Linked DNA regions of Kluyveromyces lactis. The protein of the gene in region 1 binds, or shares a complex with, the protein of each later gene. Links are inferred from orthologs where the notes say so. Each region holds a gene or a part of one and is shown in the gene's direction. Other genes may lie near its edges. The genes, in order: RPA34, RPA14 and RPC19.

The links.
Region 2: RPA34 (region 1) and RPA14 share a complex: the UniProt entries of both Saccharomyces cerevisiae proteins name them as parts of the RNA polymerase I (Pol I) complex. The link is inferred for Kluyveromyces lactis from reciprocal best matches to the Saccharomyces cerevisiae genes RPA34 and RPA14.
Region 3: RPA34 (region 1) and RPC19 share a complex: the UniProt entries of both Saccharomyces cerevisiae proteins name them as parts of the RNA polymerase I (Pol I) complex. The link is inferred for Kluyveromyces lactis from reciprocal best matches to the Saccharomyces cerevisiae genes RPA34 and RPC19.

What each region holds. Positions count from the first base shown.
Region 1 is NC_006037.1:552,798-555,316, reverse strand, and holds RPA34 (DNA-directed RNA polymerase I subunit RPA34), read left to right. Parts: upstream 1-1,329; coding exon 1,330-1,914; downstream 1,915-2,519. Other genes in the region: rRNA-processing protein LAS1, read left to right, coding at 1-37; transcription factor TFIIE subunit TFA2, read right to left, coding at 2,019-2,519. UniProt on the Saccharomyces cerevisiae protein: DNA-dependent RNA polymerases catalyze the transcription of DNA into RNA using the four ribonucleoside triphosphates as substrates. Component of RNA polymerase I (Pol I) which synthesizes ribosomal RNA precursors.
Region 2 is NC_006040.1:1,414,659-1,417,135, forward strand, and holds RPA14 (DNA-directed RNA polymerase I subunit RPA14), read left to right. Parts: upstream 1-1,488; coding exon 1,489-1,968; downstream 1,969-2,477. Other genes in the region: ENT5 (Ent5p), read right to left, coding at 1-48; peptidylprolyl isomerase CPR1, read right to left, coding at 527-1,015; HOM2 (aspartate-semialdehyde dehydrogenase), read left to right, coding at 2,437-2,477. UniProt on the Saccharomyces cerevisiae protein: DNA-dependent RNA polymerases catalyze the transcription of DNA into RNA using the four ribonucleoside triphosphates as substrates. Component of RNA polymerase I (Pol I) which synthesizes ribosomal RNA precursors.
Region 3 is NC_006042.1:2,218,013-2,220,373, reverse strand, and holds RPC19 (DNA-directed RNA polymerase core subunit RPC19), read left to right. Parts: upstream 1-1,435; coding exon 1,436-1,819; downstream 1,820-2,361. Other genes in the region: AZF1 (Azf1p), read right to left, coding at 1-454; DEAD-box ATP-dependent RNA helicase DBP2, read left to right, coding at 2,245-2,361. UniProt on the Saccharomyces cerevisiae protein: DNA-dependent RNA polymerases catalyze the transcription of DNA into RNA using the four ribonucleoside triphosphates as substrates.

The sequences.
Region 1 (2,519 bases):
CACCGAGTGGACGCCTAGACCATTTGGCGTTTTGTAATTAGTATAATTAAGCCTTTTAGATACATAAGACAAAGCAAGAAAGATTGACAGTTCTACAGGTTCTGCGATGATAACAGGATTGAAAATGGAAATGGATAATAACATATAAAAAGATCAGACATCCTAGGAAGGTCTCAATAAAGAGCGGTCACTGAAGAGTACTAACGATGGGTTCGTAGGCGTACTCCTACCGTGGAAACTGCGAATGTAAAGGAACCAATTTTCATCATATAAAAAAATGTTAAAATCCATAACGCACAATCATGTTCTTAGCTAAAAAGAAGAAGTGAAACGTTTTGAAGAAATAAATGCAACAGAAGATACGACGATGGATCTTGTTTCACTGTTACTTTGACCTTAAGAAAACTAAAAAGAGAAAACTCAGATGATCTAAATTGTACATGTCAAAGCATGTACTGGCTTAAAAAGTCGTTGCCCCGTAAGACAACAACATGGTAGACTCCCATATCGTCATGGTCGATATCGGACTGGGAAAGAAGTGTAGACCGTTTTCATCATCGTTAAATGTTTTGAAGTTCTTTCGTAAGGTATGAAGTAATAATGAATCCCACGTATATGCAAACTTTTACGTTTATTTCTTCATGGAAAAGGTCTCTTTTCCAAGCGTAACATAGACGAATCAGTGTTTCACGGCTGTGAAACACTGCTCCATCAAGGATACTATAAAGCTCACTTGCCAACAGCAAGTGAGGCTAGAGAACAACCTACAGAACTTTTCAATACCTAACCTGGATAAATGGTTTGATGAGTTTAACATGTCTAGTTTGTTTCTCATTACCAGCCTTTTTATATTCTTCGTGTCGAAGAAGCATGGAAAAAATTTTTGGAATAATTGCGTCGTTCGACATGATAATACAGTAAACCAAGTACTTAGGGCATCGATGTCATACCATTCAACGGGAATCATAGTATTAGTGATCCAATAAATGTTGCTCGAAGGCTGTTCAAGTCGGACATACCATTTCTCGATGGTTTGTGATGAACTGGAACAGATTTCATGAATACGATAGTTTGTTCCACGTGTTAACCACGTGCATTTTCCCGGGTAACGTCTAAAAAGAAAGAAAAGTCTTTCCCAAGATGAAAAAATTCGGTTTAAGCTCATCTCATCTCATTGCAGATTCAAATAGACACACAGAGGCAGATAAGTGAGGTTCTGTGTGGTCCTAGGGTTCCAATTACAGTTTAACTAGTTCAGGTGAGTTTTTGTTACACCCTTCCCTGTAATATTATTCCACTCGCAAAACGTTATAAGAAATATCTCAAACAATGGCCAAGGTCGACAAAACTCTTTCAAAGGAATACATCAGTGATAGCGACAGCGATAATGATGGATCATCAGAAACTGTAACGGACGTTTTCGTTCCACCTGAAAACTATAAGAAATGTACACATTTGAAATCATTCGTGAAGCCTAAGAACTTGAAGCAAAAAGAACTTTGGCTTATCAAACTTCCTAAATCTTTAGATGTCTCTAAGCTTTCGAAATTACCTATTGATTTCACAGCGGAGTCGGAAACTGGCATCGAACAAAAAGGTAAACATTTCTCTGTGAAGGAGGAAATCCAACAAGAAAATTCCACTTCTGGTGCATCTTCTTCTTCTGAATTGACATTATTGACTCCTGTAGATAAGACAAAGTTGACCGTCGATTCATCTGCATCAAGATCATTTGATAAGATCTTTACCATAAGCGAAACTGCAAAGATTCCAAGCATTGATTATTCTAAGGTAAGAGTGGATAGAAAGGATGTGTTGAAGGTTAAGGGTCTCAAGACTAGACATTTCGCAACTGGGTATTACGAGGATAAAGATTTGAAGAAAGTTAGCAAAAAAAAGAGAAAGCACGACTAGAGCACTCGTTCTGGTCTTTCTGTATATTATTTATATATAACGCACTGGTCATATTTTAATTTGGGTTATATGTAGAATACGTTCATTATAAAAAGTAGGTATCTTCATACCCTATCGGAATAATCTCTCAATATACCAGCCATATGTGTATTGGTAACTTTACCCTTTCTTGATCTACGTTTCTTGACCTCTTTCCTTGTGGTTTGCTCATTCTTGATCGTAGCAGGATCCACACTAGCAGGCTTGAGACCCAAATCTTGTAGTTTTCTTGGTAATTCACTACGCTGAGGTAGCTTACAAGCTTCCCACATCGTAACGAACTCTTCATCGATTTGCCTTGATGGACCAGCATGGTTATACCAGACAAACCTTGGAGAATTATCCTTCTTTGTCCGAAGAACAAGGATTCTGTTCTTTGCTTCTAACTCGTCGATTGTATCAAAACATTGTGGCCAACCATCTTTTAACTCTTTACATGATATACCCTTGAACGTCGCCTGTGATCTTAATAGTTGTAGCAATTCCTCCGCAGAATGCACATCGTAAATGGATACGTACTGTAAAGTGTTCCTCTTTGGGTCAAACTTGAATTTTTGTAACCCCTT
Region 2 (2,477 bases), on another chromosome or scaffold:
GAAATCATGCAGACCCAAATTACCCAACTTTTTAGAAATAGAATCCATCCTTACTGATAAGATATAGCCTGTCCAGCGTGATCAATAGCGTACCACTGCAGATACAACGGGTTACCGCACTGAAATGACGAACGTATCCTCACTGATCATTAATCATGATCATTATTTTATGTTGAAAAGTCTTGTAAAGGTTGCGCTGATTGCAGAGGGCAGCTAAATTGGGAAATTTCAGGTGAGAAAAGGGAACAGGCCCGGGTAACCATTTTCATTGGGTAGCTACATTTGTTAATGGCCAAAGAGGAGAGATGATGATCTAGTCATAAACTTCCATTGATATAAAAGGGTGTTGTATATATGTATTTGAGTGTCTTCCATTACCAATTGAGTGAGATCAAATACACTCAATTAGTCAATGGGTTGTTATAGACATAAGTATATATATAGATATCCCGAGCGATTGAAGTGTGATAAAGGGAAGAAAAAAGGATTAAAATGAAAAAAAGAGTCAATTCCCTAGCTTATTTCCTTACAATTCACCAGACTTAGCGATAACAATTCTGGCCTTGGTAGCACCGGAACCGGAACCCAGGGATTCGACCTTCTTGACGACATCGAAACCATCAGCGACTTCACCGAACACGACGTGCTTACCATCCAACCATGGGCATGGAACAGTGGTGATGAAGAATTGAGAGCCGTTGGTGTTTGGACCAGCATTGGCCATGGACAACAAACCTGGCTTTTCGTGCTTCTTGACGAAGTTTTCGTCTGGGAACTTAGCACCGTAGATAGACTTACCACCGACACCAGTACCGTGAGTGAAGTCACCACCTTGCAACATGAAGTCTGGGATAACACGGTGGAAAACAGAGCCGGCGTAACCGAAACCCTTTTCACCAGTAGCTAGAGCTCTGAAGTTTTCAGTAGTCTTTGGAACAACATCGTTGTACAATTGGAAAACAATTCTACCCAATGGTTGACCGTCAGCTTCCACGTCGAAAAATACCTTAGACATTCTTAGTTTAGTTTAGTAGTTGATACTTGGTGTGTTGTAACCAAGATTTTGCAAACCAGAACAGAAGAGCAAGAACTGGACTTGAATTGGAATTGGATTGAAGTTGAATCAGAGTTCAATTGAGAAAGTGGTTGGTAGTTGCTAACAAAGGGTGGCGTTGGCTTCGCAAAATGGTATTAGGTGATGACATGCGGCCGGGTAACGAAAACGGAAACCCCATTATCTTACACATCAACCGCATTGTCGCCGCAAGTCACGTGACACACGTGACTTGCATATTTTGTTAACATCGCAAGGCACGGAGAAACATGCCTGAGTTACCCGTGCCTCAGCTGAAAAATTCTTCGAGAGACAAAACCTGAATCGAAATAATGCGATGAGATGAGATGAGATGAGATGAGATAGCCAAAGGTTGGGTAAATATATAGATGCTGATTTGATTCATCGCACTCCAACGAACAACCACGTATACCATGCTAAGGGGAACTAGAAGACCAGCAAACTCCACTTTGAACACGCCCGTTGTGGTACATACGGTGGGCACGCCAACATACCTATCTAAAGACGAAGTACTACAATTCCTAGCAAGTTTCATTGCCGAAAAGGAATCAGTACCAGGCGTGACACTAGCGTCAAGCGGAGCTTCTACAACCCAGGGAGCAGTAACTTCTGGTGGCATTAGTGCCGATGAAATGGCTCTAGATACACAGCTTTCCAGTGCTCTTGCGCAGCTGAAAAGAGTCGAAAGAGATTTCAAAGGTCTACCACCTCAAGTAATGGAGATGGAACCCTCCAGCACAAGTTCTACTGGTAATACAGAAGAAGATACGGTGGCTAAATCTGCTACTGGAGGGAAAAAGATCAAGTTTGCTGATGTGCCGGAATCTTCACAAACCTCCAGTGACAGCAAACAAACATCCTCATCCTCGGAATCGTCATCAGACTCTGAATAGACGGCTGATTTGCACTACCCACGAATCGGGAGGGTATTCATTCATTATATATATATATATATATATATATATACATACATACGCTAAGTTACATACAGTGACCGTTATAATCAATGCATAAGCTTGGAGCTCACCCTAATTGCAACATACCACGTGACTTCAAATACACAACTTTTTCTTTTCCAATGGGCTCACCTGCGGTTTCTTTCACACAGAGAGAGTGTGAGTCAGTTGGAATTTTTCGTCAAAGTGATATGACATCAGTTGAAAAGAATATCAACATTAACATCCGATTCCTTACTACCAGGTATATATTTGTACACACTTGTAGCATTCATCGTTGCTCTACTTTGCTTCTAATATACTTATCTCATTTTCTTGATCGTATTTATTCTAAAGCGATAAAGAGGATCTGAATCTTGCTTAGGAAGATTAAGAAAGAATCACTACTTATAATATACTATAACTATGGGTAAGAAAGTCGCTGGTGTCTTAGGAGCTACTGGTTC
Region 3 (2,361 bases), on another chromosome or scaffold:
AACTTGATGTATTAAACTTGGGCATGAAGGGTTCCAATTGCTCAGATTGTCTTCTTGTGGTAGTGAAGGCGACATCGTTCTGCGGATGAGGGGCAGGCGCGTTCCAAAGGTTATTAACAATGGAGAACCCTCTAGTATAGGGTAACTCTTGCCCCGTGTTGCTAGGCACTTGTCCCATCTGTGAAGTAGACCCTCTGTTATCCGGCTGATTATCAATGTTCAAAAACGAAGAAATCGAACTATCCGTAGACAACCTTGGCTGATTGAAATTCGTATACATTGAAAGAGAATCCTGTCTTTGACCACTACCCGGTGGCTGGTTCAAAGAAGTCAAAGTATTTGGATGGTTCACGGGTTGGCCCTGAGGAGGAGGCATCTTATCCTTGCTTTGAGCACTATCTTGCTCTTGACGCTGACCACCAGCACCATTGTTTTGAGTTTCTGTGCTGCCCATCGTGTAACGCGTGTTGCTTTAAAAGGAAAATCTCACGGGAAACCTATTACTAAAACGGAGATGCAACACTCAGATCTCCTATCACCAAATCTCAAGGGTAAATTGTGAAATATTAAACGTTAATGGTCAATAATACCAGTACCAATACCGAAATTCAATATCGTTATTTTGATTGCCCCAATAACAACAAACTGATATCAAAAGTAACAACTATTTTTTGGGCTTTGGTCCAAAATGATAATGTAACGATGAGAAAACCAAGATTGAAAAAAAAAGAAAAAACTTTTTTTTATACCTTCCTTCTTATAGGTATTTTTTTTGAAAAATGCAATGATGAATGAAGGGAGAAGGAAAACTGATTGATCCTGTCGTGTCTGTACGGTGTTTTGTAAGGGGTTTTCCGTGGAATGATGATATTAGTTCAACAGATTGGAAACAGCACTATACGTGATGATGGAAACTTTAGCTGATAACTGGTTAGGTATACGGACTGTCCTTGTTTTATGATTTGTGAATGATATTTGATACTTGACCCGGATTGTTATGCTAATTCTGTAACGGCCTCCCCTGATGATTTTTGCCAAGGGACTTTGGGTATGTCTCGCTTTGGTCGCATTTTCTCATTTCTTTTAGTTTACTTTGCTTTTTGTTCGGGATCCGTTGTTTATATACTATGGTGTGGTACCCTGAGCGTGGCTATGAGCAACACCTGTGCATTGCGCGGTAACTGATGAAGTGTGTGACACGTGATCTGGTATTTCGCATCAACTTGCTTCTTTCAGTTACCCGGTCAAGACCGGGTAAGCTTTTTGTTTTTTCCTTTAGCATGATTTGGTTTTCCCTCTTCTCTCTATCGAAAAAACCATAATCAATATTGACAAATTGTTCAGCTTAACAGAGTAGGTCATCTCGTCTTATTGACTGTTTGAAAGAAGTACGCACAAACCACCTAAGTGACCATTCATAAGCGCTCTCGGAAATATGGCTGAAGTGGAAAAGCAAGATGTTGATATGCTAGCAGCTGAACAAAATGATCAAGTTGATCAAGTGGAGGAAGAAGTGGACAGTGAAAAGATCAAACTTCTCACAGAAGCTACTTCCGAAGATGGTACTAGTGCTTCTTTCAGAATAACAGATGAAGATCATACCCTTGGTAACACGCTTCGTTATATGATCATGAAAAACCCGGAGGTAGAATTCTGTGGTTACTCTATTCCTCATCCTTCAGAAAACTTTTTGCACATTAGAATTCAAACATACGGCAAAATTACTGCTGTAGAGGCTTTGCACAAGGGTCTTGGAGATCTAATGGACATGTGTGATGCTGTAGAGGACAGATTCACGCAAAGAATCAGGGAAATGTAGAAATTGGTTATCTCCAGCTCCCGCATTAACTATATATAAGAGAATAGAATTAAATACACAACTACATCATCCTTGTATAATACACTATAATATCTATTGATTCTACGTTTATAGCTACTGGTAATCTAGCACATTGGAAGCACCGTTGGATATACCATTGGCAAAAGTAGCTGGAGTGGCTAATGTAATCACGTGACCATTTTGGTAAATTGGTACATTGGTACAAATTTCTTTTTCTCTCTTTTTTGTTTCTTTTTGAAAAATTTGCAAGTTCCCTCATCGCCCTTTGAAACTAATATATAAGCTGCAAACATTATTCAAACCTGTCTCTGATCCTCGTTCATTCAGTATTACAAGTGTGCATTTTTTTTTATCGTTTGGTTCTCAACATCAAGCAACTTATTTCACACATTATACAGAGAACAATGAGTTTCGGCGGTGGAAGAGATCATCAATTTAACAGAAACAACATGGGCAGCACTCATGGTGACTTCCGTGGTAGCAGAGGTTCTGACAGAAACAGCTACAACAGAGGTAATGAC